Lonchura striata: one gene and its partner. Each later gene encodes a partner of the first gene's protein in a complex. Links are inferred from orthologs where the notes say so. Each region holds a gene or a part of one and is shown on either strand. Other genes may lie near its edges.

Region 1 (15,197 bases):
CTGAATCTCAACTCTAGCCTTGATTCAGCTGCAATAGAAGTTTTGAAAGAGGCCTATCTACACAGGCCTGCATGTTTTTTCCCTGGCACTCGAGGAGCCAGGGCAAGGAAGTGTGCCAGGATTGCCCAACCGAACATTTGACAGAGACACAGAAATGTGAATACTGCACTTACTGGCTTTTTTAAGATCATTCATGTGCAACTTTTAAAGGTAGGATAATTCTTTTCCTGGAGGAAAGCAAACATGAGAGAAGGACTTGAAATGTCATACTGGAAGGATGATGGGAAAAGAGAGAAGGCCTATTCCAGGAAAGCCTGCCCAAACTGAAAAAATTAATATCTTCTATGTGTGCATTTCACAGTTCTTTATTTCTCCACTGCACACAACCTGTCTTCACTGAGCATTTGTTTTTGCCAGTTTACAGTCTTCTGCTTCCATTTGTTTTTAGGAAACCTAAACATCCATCATTACAAAAAAAAAAAGTCCCCACAAAACTTCTTTGACCCAGTGAATTTTTTTTTCAAGTAGCCAACAGTATCCCACTGTGCATGCCACAACAGAAACTATTTTCCCAATTATTGCTAGAGGTGTCTTCAAAAGGTAATTTAACTAGAAGACACCTAGATTTTCCCTACATTCCTTCCCCTACAACAATCAAAATACATTTCCACAATAATTTTCATGCAGCAATCACAGAATGCAACAAATAATGCAAAGCTGGTGATTTCATCAAAGTGGCTTCCAGGCATTATCTACTAGTGTTGGCATTGAGAGGATTTGGTTTTTCATACTGCTTTTCTGTCTGATGCCTGTCAATTACTAAGTAAGCATGGATTTTTTTTTTTTTTTTTTTTAGTCAGTTACATAGTTATTTGTACCTGTATTTCTTAACCTAACAACTTCTGCTGTCCCACTGGGAGAGAGAAATGGGGACCCCTTCTGATCTGTAACTAGACTGACACTTCAGCTTTCCACGGCACAAACTTGGACTGGTCTCAGCCACAAGACAGCCAGACAGCCCACAGCAAAAATTAAACTTCTGACAGGTTACAAATTGGGAAACAGGGCAAGGGGAGGAAGCTCTGTACTGGCCAACCCAAAAAATACTATTTCAATTACAGAGTCCCAAAGTTCTTGCAATATTGCAGCTAAGGGGCTGCACTGCAGCATGCAGAGATTAAGGAGGGAACAACAAAACCTTTAAGCCACTTCTCAGTCTCACCTGCCTCCAAAAATCTGCCAAGAGCCCAAGCTTCAACATCAGGCTGATCAGCAAACAGGGGTGCCTCTGCAGCAGCAACTCCTAAATGTGAGCACACTTTCTTATGTGGGGCAAACAAATGGTCTTCCCTCCTCTCTTGGAATACTTAAAATCAGCTTTCCAATACATTTTCCTCTCAGATAAAACTTTACCAAGCATGGTAACAGATACATAGTGTTTGGTTGCAAAGGTGTCTGCTCTGCTGCAAACTGGCCTCAACTAAACTACCTCAGTCTTGATGAGACAAAAAAAGCTAAACCTGGGTTTTCCTGCTATTGGCAGCAGCAAAAGGGATATGACTCTGATCAAGCCACATTTCTTTCTTTCCACTTGGAAAAGCCATGCTTACTTTGGAGGACTTACACCCCTTTTTTTTATTTTTTTAACAGAAGTAATAATCTGTAAGTCTGATTTCAAGCCATAAAAATCTCTAAACATACAAATGTTCATGTCCACAGCATTTCAGTTTGCACCATTCTTAAGTTGGGATAAAAAAAGTCATGTGTGAGCATGTGCACACACTAATTGTTTATGGACCCTTTTTCCTCCTCAACATTTTACACAACAAGTATAAACCAGTAGGTTTGGAAGTATGTTTGCAGTACATCTAGAAACAGGGCAAGAATGGGATTTTAAATTAGAGTTAGGCTTTTTTCTTCAAGATGTAATGTATGTAAAGAGCACAGTGTAAACACTGCATTGCCTTTAATAATTGATTACTGCGAGTCCTGATTCAGATAACTGGAATATTCTATCTACCCTCACTTCCTAGCTCTGTGTGCACACACATGCAGCCAGGCTGCTAAGAGTCTGCCTGTTTCCAGAGACCAGTTTTCCAAACCCCAACCACTGGCCAGTCCAAGCTTATGTAAACAACCTGAGATTCAACAAACTCAATGACAATCATTGCTGATTAAACCAAACTTATACAAAGGCAATGTAAATTGAACCAGGTACAGGCATGCAAAGATAAGATAGAAGCTGATTACCTTGCATGGCAACAAAGGAGAGCTGCCACAATAGAACAAACCAACGGTCCATCAGTTTCTAAATTGTTCCTTCTGGTTACAGCCAACACTTCAAAGAACACAGGGAGTCAACGCTGCCAGAAGTCATTATTTGCCACACCAAGAACAAGAGAAATCAGTTCGTAACTTCAGTTTCTCTAGGCATATTTTAAGACGTTTATTTTAAAATTAAGAGGGTGAGAAGAACCTCTTCCCTGAGCACCTAAATCTAAAATAATTCTTTTTAGCATCTAACAGCTTCACTTGTTCAGTACAGTCATTTCCAACTATGGGGCAGTACCCAAGAGTTTCAGCAGGCCACTATGAGGGCAGAGTTTCTCTTTCCACCTCTGGTCATAGAGGCTGAAAATTTGATTCATTCAGGTTGCAGAACATTTCACCTCTCAAAGCTGCTCTCTCAAGGTGCACTGCTATGATAAGTGTGATAAGATGCCCTAGCCTGGAAGGTCACTGAGAACGTGGCACTCAGTCATTCCCTCGCTCTGACAGCCAAGGCAGATTTGGTGGCCCTGGCAGGACATTGCCACCAATACAGCCACCCCAAAAGGAAAGCTCTTGCTTGCAAAGCCCAAGTCTCCAAGCAATCACCAACTGTGTTTGCAGAAGCCATGCAAGTAGATCCTCAGCCAACAAGCACAATTTACTTGCCCTGGTAAAATCAGGTGTTTGTATACTGTATATGTCATCTATTTACATGAAACTTATTACAAAATCAAACCAAGTCAAGTAGCTCAACTAAGAGGTTCTGTCATCTCCACTAGTACCTTCAGGCAGGTCTGAATGGTGAATTAATGGCTGATTAGCCATTCCTTCCTCCCACAGAGACTATGTCCCCAGCCTTCAAAAATCGAGTATAAATGAGGCATAATAATTCATTCCCTATTCTGCTCACTTTGGTCTAAGCAAATAAGAAAAATTCTTAGAAAAGACCTGTCTCAAATTAAATTGATTTAATCACAGACTGGCATGTCAAATTACCCCAGAGATTGAAAATATCAATCTAGAGAGAAGATACATTTTGCATAGTGAAAAACAGATATTTCTGACACATTATGAAAGAAATAATTCAGAAGAAAACAGGTCATGGCCTGACCTATGCAAGACAGCCAGATTTTCCATCCTTTAAGTCAAGGGCACATAAGGGCCCTTTGCTGCTCACCAGACATGCAGCAATGAAAACAATATGAAACAAACATAACAACCTAGAATCTGTGGATTAAAGCTTGGTGTTCAACTTCCCTTTTCTAAACAATGTAATATAAAATCAAGGAAAATCAATCCTGAGTATCAGTTCTTTGTTACTAGTATTCTACATACCACTGACTAAAATTCCTGAGCAGGAAAAGGGTGTGACAGGCAATCAGTAGATGTAGCTCTTATCACTTGATAAATAGTGTTTTAACAACCAGCCAGAGATACAGGTCCAGAGCAAGTTACATGGTCTATTCCAGGAGTTGTTTCTGACTGTAATAATTACAGCTTATAATTAAGAACACAGCTACACACTCCACACCACGCAGACAACAAAAAATTAAGCCTTCAGTGGTTATTGCTCCCATCACTAGGTTAGATCTTGGCCAAGGCTCTCTACTAAGCTTAGGTCTTTATGTCCTGATTTAACACCACTCCCGTTTCCTCTCTTTCTCCTCTAAACATTTAGGACAGTGACCAAGACCTCCCAGGCAGCTGAAAGCCCCCAGAATAAAGTAGAGGCAGGACCACAGAGGGAGTAAAAAGACAACAGGCAAAATTAATTCAGTTTCTTAAACTAGTTTGGGCAGGAAAGACTAACACCAGGGTCTTTGCACACCCCAAGGTAAAACCAGGCTTAGCATTCTATGAATGATTGTTTGTATGCTGACAACAGAACAATCAAGTACTTCCTCCAGTGGGAAGGAGCACATGCTCGCCTCTGTGTGTCTCTCATGACTCCACGTGCTTTACAGCTCTGCACCTCATCCCTTGTACCCACCTGTCTACCCAAAGCAGGTCCCGTGCCTCCTCCCGAGCAGATGCTGGTGCACAGCAGCTTCTCTGAATCAGACAAATCTGCCTCGTCGGTTAATTTTAGTGACACACTTCAGCTGTGTGGCAACTGTTCATCTACCAATACTCTGCACCTGGCTGGCAGGGATTGTACTCCAGAGCATTCCTTGGCACAGTAGAAAGTTGCTTTGGGAGCTCAGAAAGAGCTGGAGAAGTATGGACCAAAAACCAGTAACTTAAACCATGATTTAATGGGCACAAAAAGCTTAACAAAAAAAAAAAAAAAAAAAAAAAAAAGCTGGGCTGAAAACAGTAAAGCCTCAATTCCCTCTGCTGGTAGGAATCGGAGTTAGGCTGCCTAAATGGTACTTGCAAGTTGCCTTGTGAGAAACGTACAAGGGTGTCAATACCCTCTTCTGTCTCTTCAACACCCTAAGGAATTCAAGCAATGCTTGGTAAGAGGCTTGAGAATATTTACTGCCACTGTCATTCATCATTGCATCAGAAGAGCTCTGGAAAGAAGGGAAAAGTTGGGGCTAATGCTTACACCTGGGTGTGTGTTGGGGGGAAGATACATAATGACTTACACATATTACAGAATCTTAATTCTTGCGCAAACAGGATTAATCCACACTGCAAATACTTGCAAAAAAAAAAAATAAATTATAATTCAGGCTAGAAGCTTAAGTAGTCAAAGGACTATAAGCTTGGTTTTTGCTTTTCAGAGTTTTCCTAGACTTGCTGTTAAGATTCAGAGAAGATACTGAAAACAGTTTGCTGCACCATCTAAACAAAATTTGAGACACCTGAAAGGTCAGAAACCATAAAATATAGCTACCTAAACCTGCTTTTTAAGGGAACAAAAAAGGGGGGAGGGGGGGAGGGAGGCTCCAATTCCCAAGTATTTTACATTGTTCAATGACAACTATTAGGCACTTCATAATTATGGTCATTACTCATTTTCTCATCTTATGGCATTATCATAAGGCTAAAGAGAATGGAGCCCACAATTATCTCAGCAGTTGTACCCCGTCATCTCCCAATTATATACACTCAGATGACAGCCGTTTCCCCTCCACTACAATAAAGTTGGTACCACTTAACCTGTTGACCTAAACACTCCAGAATCCTCAAGCGTGGAACAGAAGAACAAAGTCCTAAACTGACTTTAGAAAACAGTCACTTAGAAATAGGACTTAAAATCAGAATATAATAGCAAAGTCATAAAAACTGACTCTGGTATTTTTTGTCTTAGGATTTTGACCACAAAATATATTTAACTCTAACTGCTGGAATAAGCATGTACACATGTAGTGGATATAAACACACACACATATATTTGTGCATGAATACAATAAACACACACCATGTTCCTACCTGACCTTCTCACCTACATTTAACACACACCAACTGCCCAAGGGTCACACGAGCCTTCTGCAACACCTCGATGGAAAAGCTGATTCCTCCCAGAGACACCTGTTGGGATGCTTCTGCACCACAGACCTACCACTTGCAGGCTGGGGTTTGACACTGCACTCTACAGACAGTACAACAGAGAAAGCAACTTTCAACCTACCTGCGGCTCAACAGCACCCTCCAAACACCACCTCCTTCCTACCGTAATGGACGGCACAAGGAGGTAGAGCCGGGGTAACAAAAGAGGCAAGCAAAAGGAGCATCACCTGTTTCTCATCCTCCTCTGACAAGACTGCAGCGCTGATAATTGAGAGCACCTGTTCAGTTGCACCTGTTCAATTAGAAACTGCTGCTATGCAGTGAGCATCGGCATCACACAGGTGTCACTGATTGAAACCAGGTGTGAACAATTTATTCCAACTCCCTGGGTAGCCTTCTGAAGAAAATTGCCTGAAACCCTCTCCTCCACTATCTGATAGATACACCTAACGGCTCATGAACTGAGATACAGCATTTCTCTTAACTAAAAAGGCAAACTTTCCCCTGGAGGGTGATTTCTGTTTTACTTCACACCTGCAGGGAAAAAAAAAAAAAAAAAAAGCAAGCCACCCATAGCCCAGAGGACCACATCCGCACGATGTTCAAGCCCGGAGCACCGGGCTGGTCTGGAAGGCTCCGTTCCCGAGGAGCGGCGTGCGGGGCATGGGGAGGGGGCTCGGCAGGGTGCGGCTGAGGCACGGCCGGGGCAGCGCTCCAGCGGCGGTAACGGGAGCGCGGAGCAGGTGCCCGGCGCGGTACTCACACGGTGAAGTGGTACACGAAGCACTTCCATCCCGTGGGCCGCTCCAAGAAGTTGTAGACCCTGCCCTGGACGCTGCTGCGGCTCAGCAGGGGCTTGCGGAGGCTGTAGATGGAGACGCGGGGGTCCAGGCTGACGGGGGGCCGCGGGCAGTCGGCGCTCACCACCACCACCTCGCTCCGCAGGCGCGGCGCCCGCTCCCGCTCCGCCGCGGGGCCGCATCCCGCGGGCGCCTGCCCGCCCTGCGCGGCCGCCAGCGGGGCGTAGTGGGCGTTCGGGGCGCTCTCGGCCAGCTCCAGCGCCGCCGCCTTCTTGCCCGGCGTCATGCTGCCTCTCCTGGGCAGCGACAGCCGGCCCAGGCTGCGGCTCTTGGGCTCGCCCGGCGGGGAGCTGGAGGACATGGCTGGGGCGGCGCGGCGGTGCCCCGGGAGCTGCGGGCAGCGCCGGGCGCCCCGTCCCGCCGCGACACCGCTGGCCCGGCCCCCGCGGGGCGGCTCCGGCCGGGAAAGGTGCGGGCAAGCGGGGGCGGGCCCGGCAGCAGTCCCGGTGCGGCCCGGCGGGAGGCGCTGCCCGCGGCACCCGCTCCCCGTGCCCGGCACCGGCGAGCATCTCCGTGTCGCTGTCCTCAATGCTGTAGCACCTGTGCCTTGTCACCGCTGTGGCTGCGTGGAGCTGGCCTCTCACCTGTGTGAGCAGCTGCCAGGGCAGAGAGCAGGGAGCAGCCTTCCAGCAACCCAGAAGCCCAGCAGACTTTCCTGCCGCCTTGGCCATTCCGCTGCTTCCCAGAACTGTGGCATTGTGTGGCTTGAGATCTTGGGGTACAACCCTTTACTTCAGATTTAGTACCTCCAAAGCCTTCTGGACGCTCCACTTCTTTTTGCAGAATTTCAGCACCTGGGAACAGCAGGGCTCTGCCAGAGCAGGAATCTTCCAGGAGGCTCTTTTTAAAATGCGTGACAAAAACTATGAGCTCAAACAATGGGTCGTGCAGTCCTTCATGATATTGTAACCAAAGGGAGTGATTAGCTGAAGAACTGTGGAAACGGTAGAACACAGCAAACACAGTCCTGCAGAACTGCCTCCTCTACCAGTAGCATTTTGGCTTTTGTGGAAATTTGCATAGGTTTGGCTATTGAGAACAGATAGTTTTGACGGCCTGGATAACTTTCCCGTGTGATGGAGTTAGTTAGGACTGCCATAACTGTGGATAAATTTGTCGTGGCTTTTTGCACCAATCGGTTAAAAATTTCTATTCCCAGAGTGAAGGGAAAGGTGCTCCTTGATCTGGACTGGTGGGTTTTTTCTTCCAGCTCAAAATAGAACAGCACTAGTAAGAGCTATGTTGAGTTCATGGTTGATACTGGTACCCGGACAAGAATGTTACAGGGAGATAAGGTGCTAAATAAAGTTAAACGAAAACAACCCTGCTAATTGCAGTTCCATTCAAATGTCAGGCTGCAAGAATTGTAGGGGAACCAGGCAAGATCCACCAGTGTAAACAAGAAAAACCAGTGAGCTCTTATATTTATTTACACCCATGAGGGATCTGGCTCCATCTTAGGAATACAAAACCTGAAGTGTTAAAATGAGACTTTGCAAAACTTGTTTCTAAACCAACAACATCCTAAGCAGGCTTTTCCCCCCTCCACCAGAGCATGAAGAAAAAAACAGCTTAATAAAAACAGCATTTCAAAGGAAAAATTTCCTGCATCAGGTCAAAATAGAGTCTGGTTTTTCTATTTTGAGGAACTGTTCTTTTTTGAAACAAGCCTGCAAGAAAAATGGCTAATGGAAGAAAGAATGTCATCACTACCCTTGAACGCTCACTGTTGGAGGGTCAGCCTGATAAAGTCTTGATATTAAAGCTAACAAATGTGTTTCTTTATGTAAGTGTTCCACTTTGTTTTATAGACTAACATAACATTGTTATACAGAGCCTTATTCTGGAGCCAACTGCAAAATATAACAGAGAGTTAGCCAAACAGGAGGCTCTATGTTCATATGTAAATGATGTTATTCTTCATAAAACTTTTCAAAATCTTTAAAAAATAATGTGGCATAATATTATTTATCCATTGATTAACAAAACAGAATAGAAACTTCACTCTGTTTGAACCTAGGAAAATGGAATTTCTGTAATACCTATGCAATTTCCTTGCAAAAGAAAAGTTAGGGGGTATTATATACTTAAATGGCTAAACAAGGAAGAAAATTGGGAAGATATAAATTTGATCTTCAGTGGTCGGTGAGAAACTGTTCCAAAGAACCAAAGGTTTTTTCAATAAACTTTTTATTGCAAAACAAAAAGGTCTCAAATGTATTCCACAGCCTTATATATTGAGTTGTTTTTCAGGACAGAAATAGTTTCATAAGGTTTTAGGTTGGAAATCCAATGTTGGCTAAATCTTTCAAAGAATCATCACAAATAAAGCAATTTTAAAGTATATGAAATTAGTATTTAAGTAATATCTAAAGGCCTTTTCCCAAAGTCAAGGAGTTAATCAAAATCTACATTTTAAGTGTGTTACTGATAATGATAACATTTATTTTATGTAGCAAAAATCATATTGTTAGATGATTGCCAGCTTGTTCAAGATACTGAATGGTAAAACATGTCTGGCACAGGTGAAAGCAAGAGCATACTTAAATAAAAGTTTCAAATAAATGACTACTTAGGGATGAGAATCCAGGGTATAATTACCTTTAATGCATATTAATTTACCAAAATTGTATATTATTTTGATATATTTTCAAGATGCATATTTTAACATGGTAATGGAAATTCCCTTTTTTTCCCCTTCTTAAGTTGCCACATCTTGATTTTAATCATGTTTATTTTACAAAACAATGTAATTATGTAAGTGGAAGAAGAGAAAAAAAAGAGAGTGTGGTGTATATATGAAAGAGTTAAAAATGGGAAGAGGAGGGAGATGAGTGTTCAAATATATTTATGGAGCTTGGTATCTAGGCTTCGATAGTGAAGAAGGTAGGAAGATACATTGAATAAAGAGGACATGGGTTTTAAATATTAAGGTGGAACTACTATACTGAATTGTTTCTTAGAATAATAATAATCTACTTTGAGTATTTACAGAACTGCAGCGAAATGAGTAACACCCAGTACATTTTAATTCACAGTTAGCAAGAACTGTTTTAAATCCTTACGTCTTTAAGAGGACCATGATTATAAACTTGAGATAAGTCACTCTAGTACGATGATAATACAGTGAAGGTGATGGCAAAGCTCCCAATCCTAGCAATTTAATTAGATCAAGACTAGTATTAGTTAAAGACTTCTTTGATCAAAAATGTCTGTAGCATCCTGGGCCTCTGTTATCCTGTACCAAGTTATGGATCAGTATTATGCCTGCAGTGACAGATATGCTCATGGCATGCTGTATTTTGACTCTGTGCTCGCCAGAATACCATGCAAGATCACACTGCTAAATCACTGACAAATGTTTGCAGGCAGGAATTGCTGCAGCCAGTTAGAGACACCTTGATCTTTTGCCTGATTTCTTCCCTTTGGAAGTTAAGACTCAAACAAACAGTCTGAATATTCTTTGTCTTCTGAAAGCCTTTAACACTTACGTTACAATTACAGGTTTCACCACTTCTCCTCTAGCATGGGAATCTTCTTGTTTGCTGTTAGATTACTTTGTGGGATGGTTTTTGTTTGAATTACGTTTGGGGGATTTTTTTAATGCTACTTCCATTTCTGCCCAGCTACAGTAGGAGACGTTAAATAACAGTTTTCAAGGAGAGAAAAGAGAGAGTTGTGTTGTCTCAATTTTTGAACTCTTTTTCTTGGAGTGGAGTAAATATTTGGTTGTGTTCCATTTCCTGGAGAATCCACATTTGGATTGAGTGAGTAGATCATTATAAAAACACAGTCAATGGTGAAGGTAAATGTCATTTGAACTAAGAATAAAGTCCTAGATTGTTTATATGTTTTCATATAGTGAGGTAGGACAAAAACTTTTGAAATACTCTCTATTAATTAAAAAATTCTGCTCACAGACTTGTCATTACTTTAAAAAATTCCCATTAAAAGCTATAAAATAACTAAGTACTTATACCTCAAACAAAAAGAACAGTTTGAAAACACAACAATAACATGATAGATAAATAAACCTCAGCCTTAAGATTCAAAACAAAAGCAGGGGAAAGAGATACAAGGGTTTGCTTCACTTTCTAAATCATGGGAAGACTACAGCTTAGCCAATTCACTAGGGAGATGGAAAGATATATGTATATTTTCATTCATTCATCAAATTTCAATTAAGAACAATTTTCCAAGTACGTGTAGACATTTTCCATTGGACACCTTGATAATCTCATATACCTTTATTTTTAATTAATCTAAATCTATTAATATACAACTTGTATGCCTTTATGCAAATTAACTTCAGGCTTTAAATTTAAGCAAAATCTTTGCTAAAGGCTCTTGAATACATCCATGCTTCCCATGTGTAAATCCAGCAGGTTTTCCCTGTTGGCAGGCATTGCTAGTCAAACAACTTAGCACACCAGCAGAAACTCCAGATACAGAGAGTGTATTCAAAACTGCAGTATGTCCCAAAACACTGACTATCAACATTTCATAAGTCAGAGACCACATTAATTAATCACTTCCTTAGTAGACTAATCACTGACAAAAAGACACACTTCCAACAGGTGTTTATGCAGACTGCTTTCCTGTCAGTCACTTTCAAGACAGATGGAGCAGACAGAAAAAAGCAGATAGTATTCTACTCAGAAAGTTGAAAGTGTCCTTTAATTCCCTCCCTTCTTTACTGTTGGGTTATTTTTAACAGTGGATGCAGTCTGCTCAGGAATCTGGGCAGCAGAGAGGAGCAGCCCTGCAGGAGATAGTGAGTGGCATGCACCAGATATCTGACATATGGAGGCCATGCAGCCCTGCTGCCATCCCTGATTAGCATTATCTGTTTGAATGCTATCTGAGTGCATGGTTATGGCTATGGTTTTATGATGTGTTTACATTGTTTCGTAGGATTTTAAATCATATTGGTGCTGTTCTGGGAAAGAATATTACTGTCTACCTATGCTCAGGTTTGAAGTCCTAAAGCAAAGAAAGACTCAATATTTATTTAGGCTTATGCCTCACAAACACTTTCTGTTTTGTTTTCAAACAAAATGGGAACTCTGAGCCTTTGATCTCTACCCTCTGGATACAGCTATCCAGACAATTCCTTATTCACCTCACAGTTTAGCCATTCAATCAGTCTCCAATTTAGAGAGAAGGATGTTGGGAGGACCATGCCAAAGACTGTACAGAAATCCAGCTAAATGACATTCCTTCATGTCAAATGATATCCCTGTATCCCTTGCCTTGTCCACTGATGTAGGCATTCCACCAGAGAAGTCCATTAGGTTGGTCAGGCAGGATTAGCCCTGGGGGAAGCTGTGCTGGCTACCTCAAATCACCTCCCTGTTCCCCATGTGCCTTAGCAGAGCTTTTATGAGGATCTGTTCCAGGATCTTCCCAAGCACAAAGGTGAGGAAAACAGGTCCTCCCAGTGTCCTCCTTTCTACTCTTTTTAAAGATGGGTGCAATATTTCCCTTTTTCCAGCTACATGACACTTCACCTGACAGCCAGGACTATTTGGGTATCACAGAAAGGGGCTTGGCAACTGTGTCAGCCAATTCCCTCAGGACCCTGGGATGCATCTCATGGGTCCCATGGACTTCTGTACACTCAGGTTACTCAGGTAGTCATGAACCTGATCTTTGTTACAGTGGGAGGGATTTTGCTCCCCCAATCCCCATCCTGTTGTCCATCCACTTGAGAGCTGTGAGAAGAGAGATGCAAAAACCTTGATAGACTCTTAATTTCTCTTGTTAAGGAACATTCATTTATATGAAAGGCTAGAACCAGCCAACTGGAATTTTGGTTTCTGTCAATAAAGATCAAATTTTTTTCTACAATGTTAGCTTTTTCTATTTGCTCTCTGGCTGACCAAAATCTTCCACGTGTGAGTCTGAAGAATTCACTAAGTTTTTACTTGTTTAGGAAGAGGACTTCAGGGCAGAGCCCTTGAAAGTCTCATGGGCATTAAGAAGAAAATAAGGAAGTGGTGCTAGAATTGTAACTGAACTGTGTTAGTGCATCACAACTTGCAAACATCCTTCTCAATATTTTCTTCCTGTCACCAACCTACTTGCAATCTTCAACGAAGTGGCAGTAGGAAAAATAAAAATCTAGACCTTGTGAAAGCCTTAAACAACTAAGAGGGGACACCATTAGGAGATCTTGCTCCAGACACACTTGTAGATCCATGCATGGGTAACCTCTCTAGTCTGTTTCAGCAGTTGCCTGTAGAGTCCTTTCTCCTGAGTTCTTTAATGTAGTTAATTTTCCAGCAATTTTTGTAACTGAAAAGGATTCTTTTAGGTATTACTCCAAAAGAGAAAGCTAAAGAGGCTGACGACATCTTGTGAGGTTCATTTTTATTATTGTGGCAGAGGAGGTGTATTTCAATTTCAGGAGCACATGAGACTCAGCAGATGTTTGCTTGCTCACACAATGCCACACAGGTTTTTGAGTGCACATTCTTACACAGACCTGCACGTCTGAGGGCAGAGTGACTAACAGCATTCTCCAAATGAAGAGATTGTTACATCACTTTCTTGCATCAAAAGCAAATTCTCCTCCTCATGTTAGTCACAAACCTTCTCTTTGTTAGACTAAAATCAGCACCACTGAGCAAGCTCCAAATAAATTAACTGAAATTCTGAAACACTCCCCAAATTTTTGTCCAATGGTTGCTTATGGAGAGGACTTCTCTTAATGAAAGGATGTCCTGGTGTTTCAGGAAGGGTTTCACTCTCAGCAGCTGAGAAAGAAATCACTAGCTATCACCAAATCTCTTCCTGGTCCAGGAACACTTCCTGCCTGTGACCACGTTAATCCGTAATATATAATAACCTACCTCACGTGTAAGGAATGGCATGGGACAGATAATCATTCTGCTTCAGCAGGAGCCACTTGGCAACCCACTTTTGATGTCAAGCATCATCTGTCTGACAGTTAAACCTGCAGCTGAATGTCTTTAATTGCAGGTGGTTCACTGGAAAACTTCAGTGGGAGGTTATGTGCAACACAAGGCATTTAAGGCTAACTCTGTGGGAGAATCAAAGGTTTTTCAAACAATAATCCGTCAAAAAGCTTTCTAATGCTTAAAAAAACCCCAACTCCACAGCAGAGTAATAGAACAAGTACTAGCAATGTCTCCTCCCCTCCCACTACACCTTTTCTTACATGAGTAACCTCTCAAGGCAAACAAATTGGAAACTATAAAACTCAGTGGATAGACCACAGGAGACCTGTGCAACAATCAGCTCTGCCAAACTGGAATTTCAGGTTGCTTTCATCTCACAAAATAAGAGTTTTCATTTCACTAGGACCATTCTAATAGGCAAAGCTAAACAATGCAACATAATTTAAAGTCTGGCAAAAATTCTTTTAACCTATCCCATAATTGCGATTTAATGCCAAATTCTAGAGACATGCCTGACCTTTTTCTAATTGGGTTAATAGCAATTCTTATCTCGGTGTCCTCATCTCCAGTGTCCCAAAAGCCCAGGTGCTAAGCAGGATTTTGTGTTTTACACTGCAAATGTTAAAGCTGAAGCTTGCAGAGCTTGCGGAGCCCCAAAACTTTGTGCGTGAAGAACAACCACAGCTCCCTCTGTATTTTTGCAGAAGTGAAAAAGGGAACATTAAGAGCACCCTCATCATCTCCCTGATTTATGGTTAATTACAAATCCAGTGACCCAGGCTGCAGCACAACTACTTTTTAGAGACCATTTGCATGCATGGCAAGGCATTAACATTTGTTAATTGGGCTGTTAAACTGCTGTTAAAGTTTGACATCACTTGAGGGCTCTGCTGAAGTACCACTCAGTGGGAAAATGAGGTTACTAATTTCAGACTCTGCACCACGTCCAAATCACATTCTTCTCAGAAGTTCTGGAAAGAGAATAGCTGCATTTGCTTTGTTCTGCCCAAAAGAATAATTCATAATCTTACTGGTAAATTACAGTCCTTTTCAAAGCAGATGTGCTAACCTCACTAAGCCAGTGAAGAGGAAACAACCCACCAGTCATATCTTACCAGCAGAAAAGTTGTTTTTTCTTGACCAAATTTAAAATATCATTAGTTAATTAATGTTTGCTATTATTTCAGAACTCATTATAAGCAAACGCTTCAGTCTGCAGAGTTTTTTTGTTTTTCTTTAAAGACACCTAATGCTTCAAATATTTTTGTGGAGTCTGTTTTTATATATTCTATTCCTGGAGGTCCCTCTAGTGGCTAAAGTGTCAAGTTTATCTGGTCTGGCTTAAAAGGCCACAGATGTTTTGATTCATTTTCTTTGATAGCTATTTCTCGTAATAGGCAAAGATTTTCCTAACGTTTATAATTCCTCCTACTAAATAAATGTCAAATTAAATAAAAATATTTTTCACATTACAAAAAAAGAAAGAATAATTGGACTAACTTGACACATTATCTATAATTGAATAATGAATAGAAGGAAGCTGGCAAAGAGAGAATCAAATTCCTGTAAATACATTGAATTTATGAAAGTATTTTCAGTCCCCCACCAAAGAGGAAAGTTTCAGTCTCTAACCTCGGACTTGAATGACCAGAATTCAGCACCCAGTTCTCCCACAGACTTCCTG
Region 2 (14,915 bases), on another chromosome or scaffold:
GAAGCCAACATAAGATAAAGACAATAAGGTAGTAGGTCACCAGGAGGGAGGATGCTCCCAAGTCCTATCCCTGCTCTTGGCACAGAGAAGGACAAGAGCCTGAACACCAATAAAGCGAGGAAATGGGATGCAATCCTTCCTGCTTGTACATCTGGCAGCATCTGCAGCAGCACTGATGCCATCCTGAGCCCACAGGTCTGATAAGAACCAAGTCCCTGGCACATTTCTCCAGAGCTCAGTGCTTTGCATGCTTTTGCTGATCTTATCTCCTCCTCATGTTTTGTCTTCAAGGGAGAAGACCAGAGCCCAGGATAACAGGAGCTCCAGCCCACAAGACCTTGGGTTTCCTCCAAAACTGGATGGAAGGTGGAAAATTATTCTCTCCGATGTCAGTGCTCCTCCATGATTACTCCCCTGAACAAAATAGTCTCATGCGGGATAGAAGTGATTTCCTTGCCAGGAATAACTGCAGCACAGAGGGTTTGATACTTCCCAGGATCTCACCAGTGCTCCCGACATTGGGAAGTGGTGATTAGTTCCCAAATGTGTCCCTGTGAGAAGGATGGGATCTCTAGCTTCGAGGCAGCCCGTGGCAGATGCTCCAAGCAGCTCCAGAGCAGGGCAATCACGGAAAAAGATTACAGTGATACAGCTTAGATCCACTGATGGAGATGCGAGATGACAACTAAATCCTGTACATTTGAGGGTTAATCAGGCTCCAGAAGAATTTTTAAAGCTGATTATCTTGCTCCAGGAAAGTTCAGCCCAGTCCCATCTGCTGGCACGAGCGTGCGGGAGTCCAGCGCAGCGCTCCAGGGGATCCCACGCCCGCCAGCACAAACACCTCTTCTCATCTGTTGCTAGAAGCAGCATTTTCCAGTTCTCACGGTGGTGGAAAATAAGCCAGTTCATCGGCAATCAGCCTGTGGGGGAAGGAAAGCCGAGGTTTCTCTGTTTTCCCCCTCACGCCTCGTTCCGCCCCGCTGAGGCACCGCATGCCAAGGGAGCAGCAGTGACAGCCCAGGGACCGGCAGACCAGGCTGCCAGCCATGGATGGGAGCCAGGCTACCAGAAGAAGGGTTGCCAGGCTGCTGCCAGCCACCAGTTCATGTGCTAGGAGCTGCCAGGGCCAGTGGAGAGTGTGGCAGGGCTCAGCAGGAGGGAATGGCTTCTCCTGGGCTAAAGGGAGCAGGAGCGTCACACAGGGACATGGCACCATGCAGACATTGTCCTGCAGCCAGGGAAAGCCCTGTCAGGGGAAACCCAGGGGCACATCTGGGACTGGATCTATTCTAGTCCCTGCCCTGCCATGGCAGAGACACCTCCCACTTGCCCAGGCTGCTCCAAGCCCCATGCAGCCTACTCTTGAGTATTGCCAGGGATGGGGCAGCTTCTCTGGGCAAAGAATTTCCTCCTCATCCCTCATCTAGATCAATTCTCTGTCAGTTTGAGACAGACTTGTCCTGAACCCTTGTAAAAAGTCTCTCTGTCTTTTGTGTAGGTTCCTTTCAGGTGATGGAAGGCCACAATTGGGTCACCCTGGAGCTTCTCCAGTCTGGGCTAAACAATCTCAGCCTTTCCACACAGCAGAGAAGCTCCATCCCTCTGATCATCCTGGTGCCTTTTCTGGGCTCTCTCCAGCAGCTCCAGCTCCTCCTGCTGTGTCCCAGGGCTGGAGCAGCTTTGCAGGTGGGATCTCACCTGGGCACAGGACAGAGGGGCAGAATCCCCTCCCCAGCTGCCCACGCTGGGGGATCAGCCCACCAGAAGGACCAGAAGCATCCGTCCCATCCCATTAGCATCCTCAGGGATCTGGTTCCACAGCCCAAACCCTTGTGCACAACAAACGGGAGCAGCCCCATGATCTCCCAGCTACCAGAGGCCAGTGGGAGCAGTGTTTCCATGGTTATTTGCACCGTTTATTCTGTTTATTCCACATCGTGGCCAAGCAGCCCAGAGCTCCCATGCCATTCCAGCTGCTTTTCCACTCCCGGTTTCTGCAGAGAGCTGGGGCCATGCAGGATGACCCCCGTGTGCTCCTGCAGCTGGTGATGGGTGAGCCTCTCAGCACTGGGCACGATTTTCGGTTTATAATTTTATTATTTATATCTCCTGAACACCCTGCTTGTTCTCCCAGGCCTCTCAGGCTCCCTGATAATGACACAGCACCTCCCCGCTTTCCCTTCCCTCCCAGAACTGCACATTGAAGGGAAGAGAGTGGAGTGCTGCAGACAGGCAGCGAGGACATCCCTGCCACCACAGGGCAGGGGCACAGGTGCCTTTTGGGGTTGGAATGACCAGTTTTAAGCAGATCTGGGGTGGCAGCAGAAGGGCTTTGTCCTGAAGGAGGGCAGGTGCTCTGCAGACAGAGCATGGAGACAAAGCCCAGGCTGGCAGGTGGGAAGGACACAACAGGGAGTACTGGCATGAGGAAATGGCTTTTGAAATTCTGCAACTGCCCCTGGCTCGATGCTTCATGATGTCAGCTTTGGGAAGGCCTAATCCCACACCCTCTGGCACTGGCAGCACACTCCTTAGCTTCCTCAGAAACATAACACTCTAAGTATGCTCTAAAAGCAGTTTGTAACGTGCAGCTCAGAGCCACTAGAAAAACCTCTGCTCTGGTCCCAAAAAGGAAGGGCAGAAGCAGGTCCCTTCACCATTCCTGGATTCCCAAAATCAACCTTCCCCATCGTGACCCCTCTGTCCCTCATGCTGCACAGCAGCCCTGGTGATGTGAGCCTGGCTCAGCACTGCTGAGGGGAGAGCAGCTCTTCCCTGGCTGCTCCATCTGAACACAGCACTCCCACGGAGCTCTGCCAGCTCTCCTGGAGGAGCAGCTCCCCGGGAACACAGCTTCCCACTGCTCAGCCAGGCTGTGCCACCCATTCCAAACCAGCACAACCCGAGGCAACCTGCCCAGCATTCACTGCTCTCACCCTGGGCTGCTCTCATTTCACCTTGTGCCTTCATTATCAGAACGCCCAGCATCAAAGCAGCCCTGGGAACGGGTTCCTGTGATTCCCGCTGCCCCAACAATCTAGCCGTTGATCCGCTAAGCCAAGGTCAGCCCAAACTTCCTACATGTTTTCATATCCTTTTCCAAGCACCAGATGCCGTCTCACCCATGATCCGTTGCTGTGTGCCAGCAAAAAATGTCTTCAATAAACTGGCCTCCCAGGAGCCTTATGTTTTTTCCCAGCTGCATTGCTTAAAATCCAAATGTAGCCAGCTACAGTTTGCTGAGTTGGATTTAGGGATTCAGCCAGGACCGGCACACTCCCAGCTCTTCTCTCTGCATGCTGAGAGCATCTCCTTGCTGCTAACAAAAGCTCTGTGAGTGTTACCCAGGGAGCGTTAGCCCAGGGAGGTGAGGCCAGAACCCATTGGCTCCAAGGAAGAATCTCTGAGCTCTCGCATGAGCATCTAAAGAGTTGCAAAATCCTTCCCCTGGCTCCAGAAGCAAACCCATTCCAGGGGACTCCCAAATCCATCCTTCTTTCATGTATCCCTGCTTCCATAGCCCTCGGAGCAGCCCAGCACTATCCACTGCTGAGGAGGTTTGTCAGGCTACCCCAGACCGTGGATCCCATGGGGACACCGGCCAGGCTGGAGCTGAGGGAGCCATAGGGACAAGGACAGCCAGAGGTCCCGCCAATACAAGTCCTTGCTCTTGCCCCAGGGGTGTCCTGGGCATGTGACACCAGGACCCTGAGGCAGCTGCCACAAGGTGGCACTGGCATCTTGTAACCCAGCCTGGTGGCATCCAGCCGGCCATTCCAGGGTGGGAGCACCTGGGGCGTCCCCCCTGCCCTGCCCTGCCCTGCCCTGCCCTGCCCTGCTCCGCCGCAGGCTCTGCTCCGAATTTACCGGCAGGGCTGGGCGGACATTGGAGCTGCCAGTGGGTCGCAGGTCGGGTGGGTAACCATTGCTGCAGAAGCTGTGTCTTGCAGGACAGATTTTCACCCTCAGAATCTTCCAGATTAGGGATAAACAGCATTTCCCTCCCCTCCCCCCCCCCACCCCCCCCAAATTTTTATGACATGCTATCCTTCAACAGGGCAACAGGGTTTTTCCCCTTGGGTCACAGCATCAGAAGAGATTTCAGAGTCACTGGATTCATCCCTCTCTCCCAAAAGTGGGAAAAGCAAGAATTCCACATCCCAGGGGGGATTTTGGGGGACCATGCTCATCATCCAGCCCCCATCCCATCGCCGGGTCCTCCCACATCCCGGCCCTGGCTGTTGCACGGCTCATCCCACAGGAGGGGCTGGTGTTGGAGGAGGACAAACCCAGGGGAGGAGGAGGAAAAGGATCAGCACAGCATGTCTCTGTCCCTGCCTGGCCCCATTCCCCTGGTTTATTTGCAGATAAAGGTTTGTTTTCCTTTCCCAAGGTTGCAGGTGCTAGATAAACAGAGCAAAGCCTCTGGAGCTACTTCCCGCTTGGGCCAGGTGCCGGAGGACACCTGCACCCCAGAAAGCCTTGACTGGCTCAGGAAATGCAGTGGGACCAACCCCAAAATGGGCTTCCCATTCCCCCCTGCTCCAGGCTTTGTTCCCAAGCCAAAGGCACGGCAAACCAGGAATCGGTCGCTAGGCTGCTGCTGTGCTGGTGCCTCCAGTGCCAAGGTTTCCAGCCCTACCCCAAACACACTCACATCCACTATTATTTTTTGGATTAGGGTTTGGCGTCAGTGTTTGGGCTCAGGATTGCAACTGTGTTTAACCTTGGAATGCAGGCGGAAAGGCCCCTATGGGCCAGCTAATCTAGCTGCAATTAAAGACATTCATTATGCCATTACCAACAGGTTAAGACGTGCGAGACACTGGCGCTGCCCCACAGCCTGTTTTGAAGGACAGGGTCATTTACTGTCCTGGACACTGGCCACTCCACAGGCCAGGTCCAAACCCGACCAGCTTAACAGCAGAGTCAAAGCCAAGGAGGCCAGCAGGACCCAAGAACATCCCTTCCCGTCCCCTGCTGCACCCTCACCCCATGGAAAACACATTTGGGACCTGCGGTACAAAAGGCCAAAGCTACAGCTGACAGCAGGAAGGAAGCAGGAAAGAGTCCAGCATCACCATCCGGAGCCTGAAGAGGTCTTGGGAGATGCTTGGAGCCACACGCCTCTGGCCGGGCTCGGGCCACGCTCACAGCGTGCCCACAGCTCCAGCAGTGCTGCCCGCACAGCAGCACGGACACATGGCCAGCTGGGAGTGCGGGGCTTGCTCCATCCCGGGGATTTGTCCCATCTGGAGGCTGTGATGCCACCCAAGGGCTACCCTTGAACCCACCTTGGCAGCACACAGTCAGCAGGTTTAGCCCTTTCAGCATCCCCTGGACTCTGGCGTAGAGCCGTGCCTCATGGATTGCCCCAGACACCAGCTTTGCTCGGAGGAGAAGCAAACACAAGTTCCCTGAACCCACCACCTCCTTTAATTCCCTGCCAGAAAAGCAGGACACAGCCCAGCTCAAACATTACAGGGTTTCAGCACCAGAAAAACTCCCTAAAACCACTGTCACAGCTGCTAGGAGCCCAGGGAGGTCAACACCAGCTGATCTGAGTAGGGAAATAGGGAAATATTCTCCTTGACGCCTCCTGCCAGCCCCCGCAGGCCACAGTGGGAAAGGAGCTGCCCCTGCCAGCCCCACGCCCATGGTGGAGCTGAGGTGGGTCTGCAGGACCAGGACCTGCTTACAGGTCACATTCTTCCAGGACATCCCGGCACTGCTCACACCAGGACTGAGCTCCTCCATGGTGGGGGTTCCAGCAGCTCTGGGGGTTCTCAGCAGCTTCGGGGGATTCTCAGCAGCTCTACGGGGTTCCCAGCAGCTCTGGAGCCAGCAGCACTGCCACATCCCACAGCGAGCCAGATGTGCACAGCAAGGTGACCCCAAGCCACCCTGGGGACAAGGTATGGGCCAGGCTCAGATCATGGAGACCCTGTTCTTGATGTAGACGTGGTAGGGGTCACTGCGCTTGTCCACCTTGCGGGAGCGGGTGTAGCCCAGGATGAGGCTGCCCACGGTGGCGGCGAAGAGCGTCATGACGAACAGGATGTACATGTAGGCGTTGGCGTTGCGGCCGGTGTGGCCACCACGTGTGGCTCCTGCCGCGCCAGCCAGGGCCTCGCCAGAGCAGGGGATGGTCCCATGCAGCGTCTGGTTCAGGGCGTTCAGCACTGCCTGCAGGCTTTGGTGCCAAGACTCCAAAGTGCGGTTGTTCTCATCCATGTCCTCTGCAGGCTGCGGGGAAGGACAGGGGGCTCAGACGGGGCTGCCCTCACAGCAGAGGTGTTCCCAGCACTGACCCCAAACTGCCCCTTGAAGCACTTCCTCTGCCACAAAGCAGGGTGGCCAAACCCTTTGCATTCCCAGCAGCCCTCTCCCTAAATTTCAGTCCTTCCATGGAAGAGATAAATCTCCCAGGGCTCTGGGGCAGCTGCCTGGCCCTCTCTCCTCCCCACCACTGGGGACAATGTGAGGACACAGCTGTCCCCAGGGAGCAGGAGGGCTGGGTCCAAAGTCTGCTTTCCCCAGGGATGTGTGGGGATGGTGGGCACATACCCTGCCCCACTGCAGGGTGCAGAGCTGGCACAGCCCCCCACAGATCGATGTGAACCCATCTTGAGGGGTTGCTGCTCTAAACCTCCCCGGGGATTTCCCTTCCCTTTGGGTACCAGACCCACTCTGACCTTTGGCATGGTGCCCCTCTGCCAGCCCCCTGGGCTCCCTTGTGCACCTTCACAACTTCCTGGGGCCCCGGGACAGGCACATGGGACACAGTCTCCCACGTGTGCCATCCTTTGGGACATGCCAGTCCCCACTGTAGTCCCCCCAGGTATCCAGCCTGCCCCCAGCAGCTCCCCAGCACCCCTTGCCTGCTGCACCTGCAGCTCTACTTGTGCAGAGGCAGCTGATCCCAAATGGGTCACCCTCAACTTGGGGGGCACCTCCCAGGATGAGACCCCAGTTGCAAGGAGGAGGAAGAGGAGGAAGAAGGGGCTGAGCAGCCACGAGCCCACAGGGATGACGTCGGATCTTGCTACATTCCTGACTTAAGAGAAGTAGGCTGAATTTGGGAGGTTTGGGGCAAGATCTGGGTTTATCCCAGGAGGGGACCCACAGATGGGGCACGCCTTGGGGGGACCCACCTTAGGGAGGGTGCAAGGACAGGGAGAGGAGCGGGCGACAGGGTGTGGGAAGAGGGGTTCGTACTCACCTCGTGTGTCCTCTCTGCTCGCGTTGCTGCCAGGCTGAGCCGGGACTGAGCATCGCTGCTGGTGGGGAGGGATGCCAGCCAGGCTGGGAACGCTGCCAGCCTCCTCCCCTTCCCGGGCAGAGCCACCTGCCACAGCCAGCCAGCCCCGTCATGGCCACCGGCCCACCCCCAGCCCCATGGGTGCTGCCAGGGCCCCTCGCCCCAGCCAGACACCGGGACTTTGTGGGGCGGCAGAGCGGGGCTCCCTCCACACTTCCCCAGCACACGCTGACGGTCACGCTTTCCTGTCCCTCCTCGTCCGGCACCGCAGTCCCCGAGCCCTCACCCTTGGCACAGAGCCTTCCTGGGCATGTTCTTCCTGCTCCCCGTTCCCTCCTGGAGCTCAGCCTGCTCTGTGAAATGGGATTTCCCCCTTTTTCAGCCCCACTGGGCACTAAGGGGGGCTCACAAGGAGCTGCCAGTGCTGTGCAGCAGCAGAGAAACCCCAAAGCTTGTGGGGCAGGGAGAAGGCCCAGAACAGCAGTGAGGGGCTCTGGGTGGGAGTCAGGTCTTACTCTGAGCAGGGTGTGGGTACTCCAGCCTCAGGCTGACTTCTCCCCCCTCAATAAACCCGTCCATTAAATCAGCTTATGATGCCGCAGCTGGGACAGCAATTTCAGAAGTGCTGACAGCAGCACCTCCTCCAGCACCACAGACCTCGTGGGAGCAGGTCTCCACTGCTCAGCTGGAATGTTGTGTGGTCCCACAGGATCCATGACAGCTGTGGCTTCTCTCCTTCCAACCCTTTTCCCTCCTTCTCCCCCTTTTCCACTGCATCCGCAGCACTCCAGTGGCCTTTCCACCAGTGTTTACAGCCATTTTCCACCCTCCCTGGCACCAGGATTTTGCCATGTGAGGATTTCCCTGGGCTCAGGGTGAGAAAAAGGCTGTCACTGATAAAGTCTTGGGGTAAATAAATGAGAAAAGGATTGGCAGCCAAAATTCACAGCAACTGTCTTTATATATAAAATCTGCCTCTTCTTACCCGTCAGCAAGGGAAGGATGCTCAAGCCACACAAATTCATGTGAATTCATGAGAATTCATGTGAATTCATGAGCATTCACACAAATCTTTAATTGTTGTGAGGCAAAAAGCAGAAAAAAACCCCACAAAAGCACCTGTTTGAGTACTTCCCCAGAAAGTGGTACCCATGGAAGTTTCAGCCAAAAGATGGAGACTCACAGGGCTGGAGAGAACAGCCCCAGGGGAGGTTTGGATCATCGAGCAGCAGCCTGAAACCCTGTGCCAAAGTCCAATCACAGTCTACAGGCAAAGGCACAAGAACTCATCTCACAACAGAGACCCCGGCACTGCCCTGATGCCCACTGGCTGCACCATGGCTTTGCCAAAACACCCGGCCAAGGCATCACAACAATTCTAATCCCCGGGGTCTTCTGAAGAGACCAAAGTGCAGTCAAACACCTCCTGGAAGGAGTCGAGGAAGGGCTCGATGACGTTGCCGACGGCGACATGCTGCCCCAGCTCGTGGCTCAGCGAAGTGACGCCCTTGCCCTCCAGCCCGCAGGGGACGATGTGCTCAAACCAGGAGAGGTCGGTGCAGCAGTTCAGCGCCAGCCCATGCGAGGTGATGTGGTTCCCGCAGTGCACACCTGCATGGCCAAGAGCACCCACCCATCAGCCCCATCACCAGGGATGCCCTGGTGGGACAGACTGAGTGACCACGCTGTCCAGATCACTATAAACATCCTCCCCCTACCACGCTGTGCTCCTCGGTTCTGCCAGGGAAAACGCACAGACAGGCTCCCCAAACATGGGGCAGATGGAGCGCAGCATGTCCAGACCCTCCACCCCAGCCCTGCATCCCCCAGCACCTCCCACCGCTGGAGTTTCCAATGGGCTCGGATATGGGGAGACCTGCAGGATCCAAAATCCAGGCTGCAGGGTCCCAGGAAGGGGTACAGGATGTGGAGGGGTGCAAGGGAAGGGGGCAAGGCTGGGGACTGGCCTGCAGGCAGCCAGCCAGCCCTGGGAGCGACACGTGCAAAGTGTCGGGGTCTGGGTGGGCTGCAGGGGCTCCAAATTTTGCTGCCCCCTCCTCCTGGAGGCCAATCCCACCCCTGTGCACACCCACCCTCTCAGGTGCCTACAGGTCCAGGGCAGTTTCCTGCAGTGCTCTGCCCCGGTGCCCAGGCAGTGCCAGGATGGGTTGGGCTGGAAGATGTTCCATGGGCAGGCACACCTCCCACCGTCCCAGGATGCTCCAAGCACTAATGTCCAATTTGGCATTGGGCACTTCCAGGGATCCAGGGGCAGCCACAGCTGCTCTAGGCAATCTGTGCCAGGGCCTTAGCACCTTTACAGGGAAGAATTGCTTCCCAACATCCCATCTAACCCTGCCCTCTGGCAGTGGGAAGCCGTTCCCCCTTGTCCCCAGCCCCTCTCCAGCTCTCTTGGAGCCCCCTTAGGGCCCTGGAAAGGGCTCTGAGCTCTCCCTGGAGCCTTCCGTTCCGCACGTGGAACACCGCCGGCTCTTCAGTGCGGCTCCACGGACACACCCGCGCTCCCGGCGCCGTCTCCGCTCACCGATGGCGCAGAGCTTGCTGTCGCCCATCCAGACCCCGGTGAAGGGCGGCGGGAGGGCGCGGACTGCGCCCAGCCCGAGGCGGCGGCAGAGCCGCAGCACCAGAGCCTCCAGCCCGGCCACGTAGGCACGGAGCGGGAGGCGGCGGCGGCGCAGGTCGAGCACGGGGAAGGCGAGCAGCTGCCCCGGGCCGTGGAAAGTGATGTGGCCGCCGCGCCGCGCCGCCACCAGCGCCGCGCCCCGCGCCCGCAGCGCCGCGGCCGCCGCCGCGCCCGGCGCGCCCCGCAGCCCCCAGGTATACACGGGCTGCGCCGGCTCGCTCAGCACCACGCTCTCCGCCGGCAGCGCCTCCGCGCCGCCCCGGCCCGCCGCCGGGCCCCGCGCCGCCCGCGCCGCCGCCACGCAGCGCTCCTGCACCCGCAGCGCCTCCGCGTACGGCACCGCGCCCAGCCGCAGCACCCGCACCGCCCGCCGCGACATGGCGGGGACACAGCGGGGACACGGCCGGGACACCGCCGGGGCCGACGGGCGGGGCGAGCGCACAACAGCGAACCGGGCCGCGCCGGGGCGCCAGCCAGGGGACGGGGACGGGGACAGGGGCACGGGCTGGGCCACGGAGACGGACAACGGATACGGGGACACGGAAAAGCAACGGGGACGGGAACGGAAGAAGGAGGCGGGGTAGGAGCGAGAGGCGGGGATGGAACGGGAGGCGAAGATAGGGACAGCAGAGTCATGTGGACAGAGTCATGTGGACGGGCTCCATGCGGGATGGGGACCGGAGCCTGGCCGCCGGGAGACAGTGTTGGGGACAGGGGCAGGGAGGGGACAGAAGTGGATGGGGGACGTGGATGGCGGACGTGGGTAGGGCACGGCGACAGGGTGGAGAACAGGACTGCAGGGGCGGAGGATGGGGGACGGGGCACAGACATGGTGAATGGGGACATGGAGGACAGGGCGGAGGAAACAGCAGGACAGAGGATGGGCGTTAGGGAGGGGAGCAGGGCCTATGGACATGGGACATGGCCCTAAGGAGGGGGCCGGGAATATGGCCTGCGGTGGGGGATTGGAGACAGGGTTTAGGAGGTTGGGGATGGGGGCTAGTGCCTAGGAACAAGGCTGAGAGATGGGGGACAGGGAATAAGGCATAGGGAGGAGGAGGTCACGGGCCTGCAGGTGGCTGATAGGGCCGGGGCTGCAGGAGGGGCACAGGGATGTTATAAATGAAAAATTGTCCAGCCAAATTAAAATGAAAAAATAAAATATTTCTTTTGCAATCAGATTCTATCTAGCCAGCCACAAGGAAAGAACAGTGCCGAGCCCGGGGTCAGCACTGGGTGTGCAACAAAGAAGTCAGCCTCAGCAGAGGTTTTCCTCTATACCCACACAGCACCAATCTGGTACAAATGCTTTTTTATAGGGAAAATTCTGCCTGAGGCCAAGATTTTGGCAATCAGTCCTTTCTTCTATTAGGAGTCCCATAGTTTGATGAGATTTCTTTTCTTGGTGAGGAGGTAGAACAATTTGATGTCTGGAGTTGGTGAATCCCTTGAGGAAAATTATGGGAACCCTGCATTCACATGTACCTGTATGGAGGATTTCCATTATATCGTCTCAGGTCACCTGGACGTCCCATATTGCTTCAGATATGGCCCATCTCCTGATGAGCCACATCCTTTTACTTGTAAATCAGGTTTCAACATAAACCAGGTTTCGCCTGTGAGGGTAGGGGGGACTCCTAATACAAACGTGTATACTCCAACAAATATTCAATATCACATATACCATACTAGAAATGGTGTGAATTATATCTACTACACATAACAGGGAGGAGAGACAGGGCAGCCCCTTTCACTACAGGGTGTGGGACATGGGGCACTAGGGTGGGGAACAGGAAGGGGGCAAGGGCAGGGAACGTGTACAGGACATCCTGTGCTGCTGGGCAATCACAGGCCTGCTCAAAGTGGGCTAAAATCAGGATTCTGGGGTAAAATTAGGACAGTTGTGGATGCTCCAACCTTGGAGGTGTTCCAGGTCAGGTTGGATAAGGCCTTGAGCAACCTGATGTACTGGAGGGTGTCCCTGCCCATGGCAGGGGGTGGAACAGGATGAGCTTTAAACTCCCTTCCAACCACTTCTCTTTGTATGATTCTGTGCTAGCACCTCAAGGTTGTGCCCTGTAAATAAAGTTCTTGTATTGCTGAGGTGCTGGTGAGAGTTGCAGTTCTTCACCCTGGGACAGTGAAAGAGGAAGTGTTCCTACCTCAGCTTCTTATTCCCAATGTAAAAAATAGACAAATTGAACCACTAATGAGTCAACCATTAAAGCCTGAGCAAACTGTTCCCAGCCTGCAGCCCTTGCAGCTTATCGACCGGGTTAGTTGTGTGAAAGTATGTCCTGGTTTTATGGAGCAGTCACTGTGTTACTGAGCTCTTGCTTTTATCACAAACACACCTCGGTAGTCATTTGCCCTTTGTCACCACAGGTGCCACAGGTAACTCAGACGTCGGCTGACAAGGTCGACTTCTGTGTTATTGCAAGTAAGGACAGGTGCTTCCCTTTGTTAGGCTGTTTTCTCAATGAAGGAGAAAAAATGGGGGGAAGAAAATCACCATAAACCTCACCAGGAACTGAACAGCACCCAGCCTGAAGATCCCACTTGGAGTGAGATCATCTCCTGGAGAGCAGCTCTAGGTCTCTGCCTTGGCAGGAGAGACTCATATTTTGCACCAACAGTGTGTGTGCAGCAAGTTATTTTCTTGTTTTTATGGTTAAGCCCCCAGTTCTCTCCTGGAGATCAAAGCCCAGGGCTCTTCCTGTCTGGCTGGCAGGACATGGAGCCATGTGTCACAGGACTGGGACCCTCGTCAGCACCACGCCACTGGCGTGCATCGTTGCTGCCCAATTTACTGTCCACATCCTGCTTTTCAGCCAGGCGGAAACGGGATGGAAGGGGCTGCGGATGGCTCACCTTTTATTCTTCTGCCAGGGCTGGGGCGTTTCTACAGCACACTGGGGGTTTTGTTGTGTCCATGATTTGCTGTCCCGTTGTACCTTCTCCTCTGGGTGCCGTAAACACAAGCAGAGCCTGTGCAGTCCTCACCAATTCATTGAAGGACAGAGTCTGATTTTTTTCTGGCAGGAGAGCCTCCCTCTGAGCTTTAGGGCCAATGCAAGTCGGGGCTTAATAGCAGGAAGCTGAGGGGAGGGCAGAGGTGGTGGCTGTGAAACAGGTGCCTGGCAAGAGGGGCTGTCACAGCTCATGGAGAGCTACAGGCAGAGGCAAAAGGCAACATCTTGACTTACTCAGGCTCTACAAGCACCAGCCACCTTACTAGGAAGGACAAACATTTCATTCTGGAATGCACCTGTTATAAATGAATCAGTCAATTTAATAATTAAAGGAATTTATTAAATCAAATAGAAGTAAAATTGGGAAAGCCAGAAGCAAATCAGCGCCGAGCCAGGCATTCGGTGCTGGGTGAACTGGGTCCGGACTAATGCAGCACCATACCCTGGCAGTTCACGGGGTACTGATTTCACATGGTCTTTTTTATACTGTTTCTAGAGTTAACAGGATTCTGGGGTGGTTCTCCTGTTTCCTTTTGTCCTTTTTCACATATTCATGCATGTTCTTTTTTTGTGGTGCTTCTAAACAGAGGCTTTCCTAGAATACTCTCATTGCTGAAATCCTCTTAGACAGTAATCCCCCCGAATATCTTGTTCTGGCAACGAATATTCATCTTAGCATTCAAGGCATATCTTCTAGAATAATCCTTCAGAATAACCATCTTTTGAGACAGGAATTCATCCTGTGTATATTGCTCTTTCCCATCACGTGGTTCCATTTAAAAGGATACTGTATTTTTTAGTCCTGAGCACAAATCTATTCTAAATCATATATTACACACCTTTCCCTGGGAAGGCTGGGGGGGAAGGGCTGGGGCTGAGATCCCCGGTTTGTTTGGGCAGGATCTGGGGGTCTGTGTCCCACAGGCAGGGCTGCTCTGCCCCCAGCCTGTTCCCTTCATTGACTCAAAGCAGCACGTTCCCAAGGCTGTGCCAAAGGGGAAGGAAAGCAGGGAAACACACCACAGGCTGTGCCCCAGGGGTGCAGTAAGGAAGTACTTAAGGAAGCTCCTTGATGGCCTGGGCAGACGGGTCAGAGCCGGTGTTTCTGTGCTGATTGCACTTCTCTGGGCAGTCGTCATTTTTTGGCTCATCTTGGAGCAAACACGGCAGGCCTTACGCTCCTCTGAGCTTCCCAGGAGCTGGCACTCCCACTTGGGAAGCTCAGATGTGTTGTTTGTCCTTCATCAACACTGTTGAAAGGTGCCCAGTAGCTGGCCAGAGCCCCTCCCAGGGGTCACCCTGCCATCTGCGAAGACAGCACCACTCCAACCAGCCAAAATCACCACTGATAGGTCACACACCCATCACAGCACTGCTTGTGGCAAAGATGCTCCTGAAGGGCTCAGGGGAGGGATGGCAGTTCTTAGGGAACACCAGAGAAATGTCGAGGTGAGACCCCACCTGCAGAGCTGCCCCACCCCTGGGGACACAGCAGCAGAACATGGAGCTGCTGGAGAGAGCCCAGAGGAGGCCATGGGGATGCTCTGAGGGCTGGAGCCAGGCTGGGAGAGCTGGGGGTGCTCACCTGGAGAGGAGAAGGCTCCAGGGAGAGCTCAGAGCCCTTGCAGGGCCTGGAGGGCTCCAAGGGACTCAAAATTCTTGGTATAAATCACTGTAGAGCCCAGTCTCAAACTGTGCCTAATTACAAATCCCAGGGCACTTCCACACAGCCTGACAAGGTGAGGACAGAGGTTGCTCAGAGGCTCCTCTGCAGCTCCGTCACCGAGGAGCCAGCCCTGCTTGTCGGTGCGTCCTTCAGAAACTTGGCTCTTTTGGAGCCTTTTTTGTGCCTTGTTGACTCTGCCTTTCACACCTCAGAGGAGCTGGCACTGAAGCTTCAGAGCTGGCACAACTGAGGAAGAAAGACAATGAAGCAAGCCTACATTAAGAGATCTCAAAATATTTCACCACGGAGATCAGGAGCAGCCTGGTCTAGTGGAAGGTGTCCATGCCCATGGCTGGGGAGTGGAACAGG

The links.
Region 2: the proteins of KCNQ1 (region 1) and KCNE3 are in contact, whole or in part, in a cryo-EM structure (PDB 6V01), measured with the Homo sapiens proteins. The link is inferred for Lonchura striata from reciprocal best matches to the Homo sapiens genes KCNQ1 and KCNE3. Residues at the interface, in NP_000209.2 of Homo sapiens: Arg116, Pro117, Thr118, Gly119, Trp120, Cys122, Phe123, His126, Phe127, Phe130, Leu134, Leu137, Ile138, Val141, Leu142, Ile145, Gln147, Tyr148, Arg181, Met238, Val241, Asp242, Gln244, Thr247, Lys362, Asn365, Ile368; in NP_005463.1 of Homo sapiens: Asp54, Asp55, Asn56, Ser57, Tyr58, Ile61, Met65, Phe68, Ala69, Val72, Gly73, Leu75, Ile76, Leu77, Tyr79, Thr80, Arg81, Ser82, Arg83, Val85, Lys87, Asp90.

Annotation. Positions count from the first base shown.
Region 1 is NC_134608.1:47,136,892-47,152,088, reverse strand, and holds the start of KCNQ1 (potassium voltage-gated channel subfamily KQT member 1), read right to left. Parts: upstream 6,892-15,197; coding exon 6,494-6,891; intron 1-6,493. UniProt on the Homo sapiens protein: Pore-forming subunit of the voltage-gated potassium (Kv) channel involved in the regulation of cardiomyocyte excitability and important in normal development and functions of myocardium, inner ear, stomach and colon.
Region 2 is NC_134604.1:19,174,724-19,189,638, forward strand, and holds KCNE3 (potassium voltage-gated channel subfamily E member 3), read right to left. Parts: upstream 7,406-14,915; 5' UTR 7,226-7,405; intron 6,250-7,225; 5' UTR 6,238-6,249; coding exon 5,932-6,237; 3' UTR 5,417-5,931; downstream 1-5,416. Other genes in the region: LIPT2 (octanoyl-[acyl-carrier-protein]:protein N-octanoyltransferase LIPT2, mitochondrial), read right to left, coding at 8,643-8,875, 9,810-10,287. UniProt on the Homo sapiens protein: Ancillary protein that functions as a regulatory subunit of the voltage-gated potassium (Kv) channel complex composed of pore-forming and potassium-conducting alpha subunits and of regulatory beta subunits.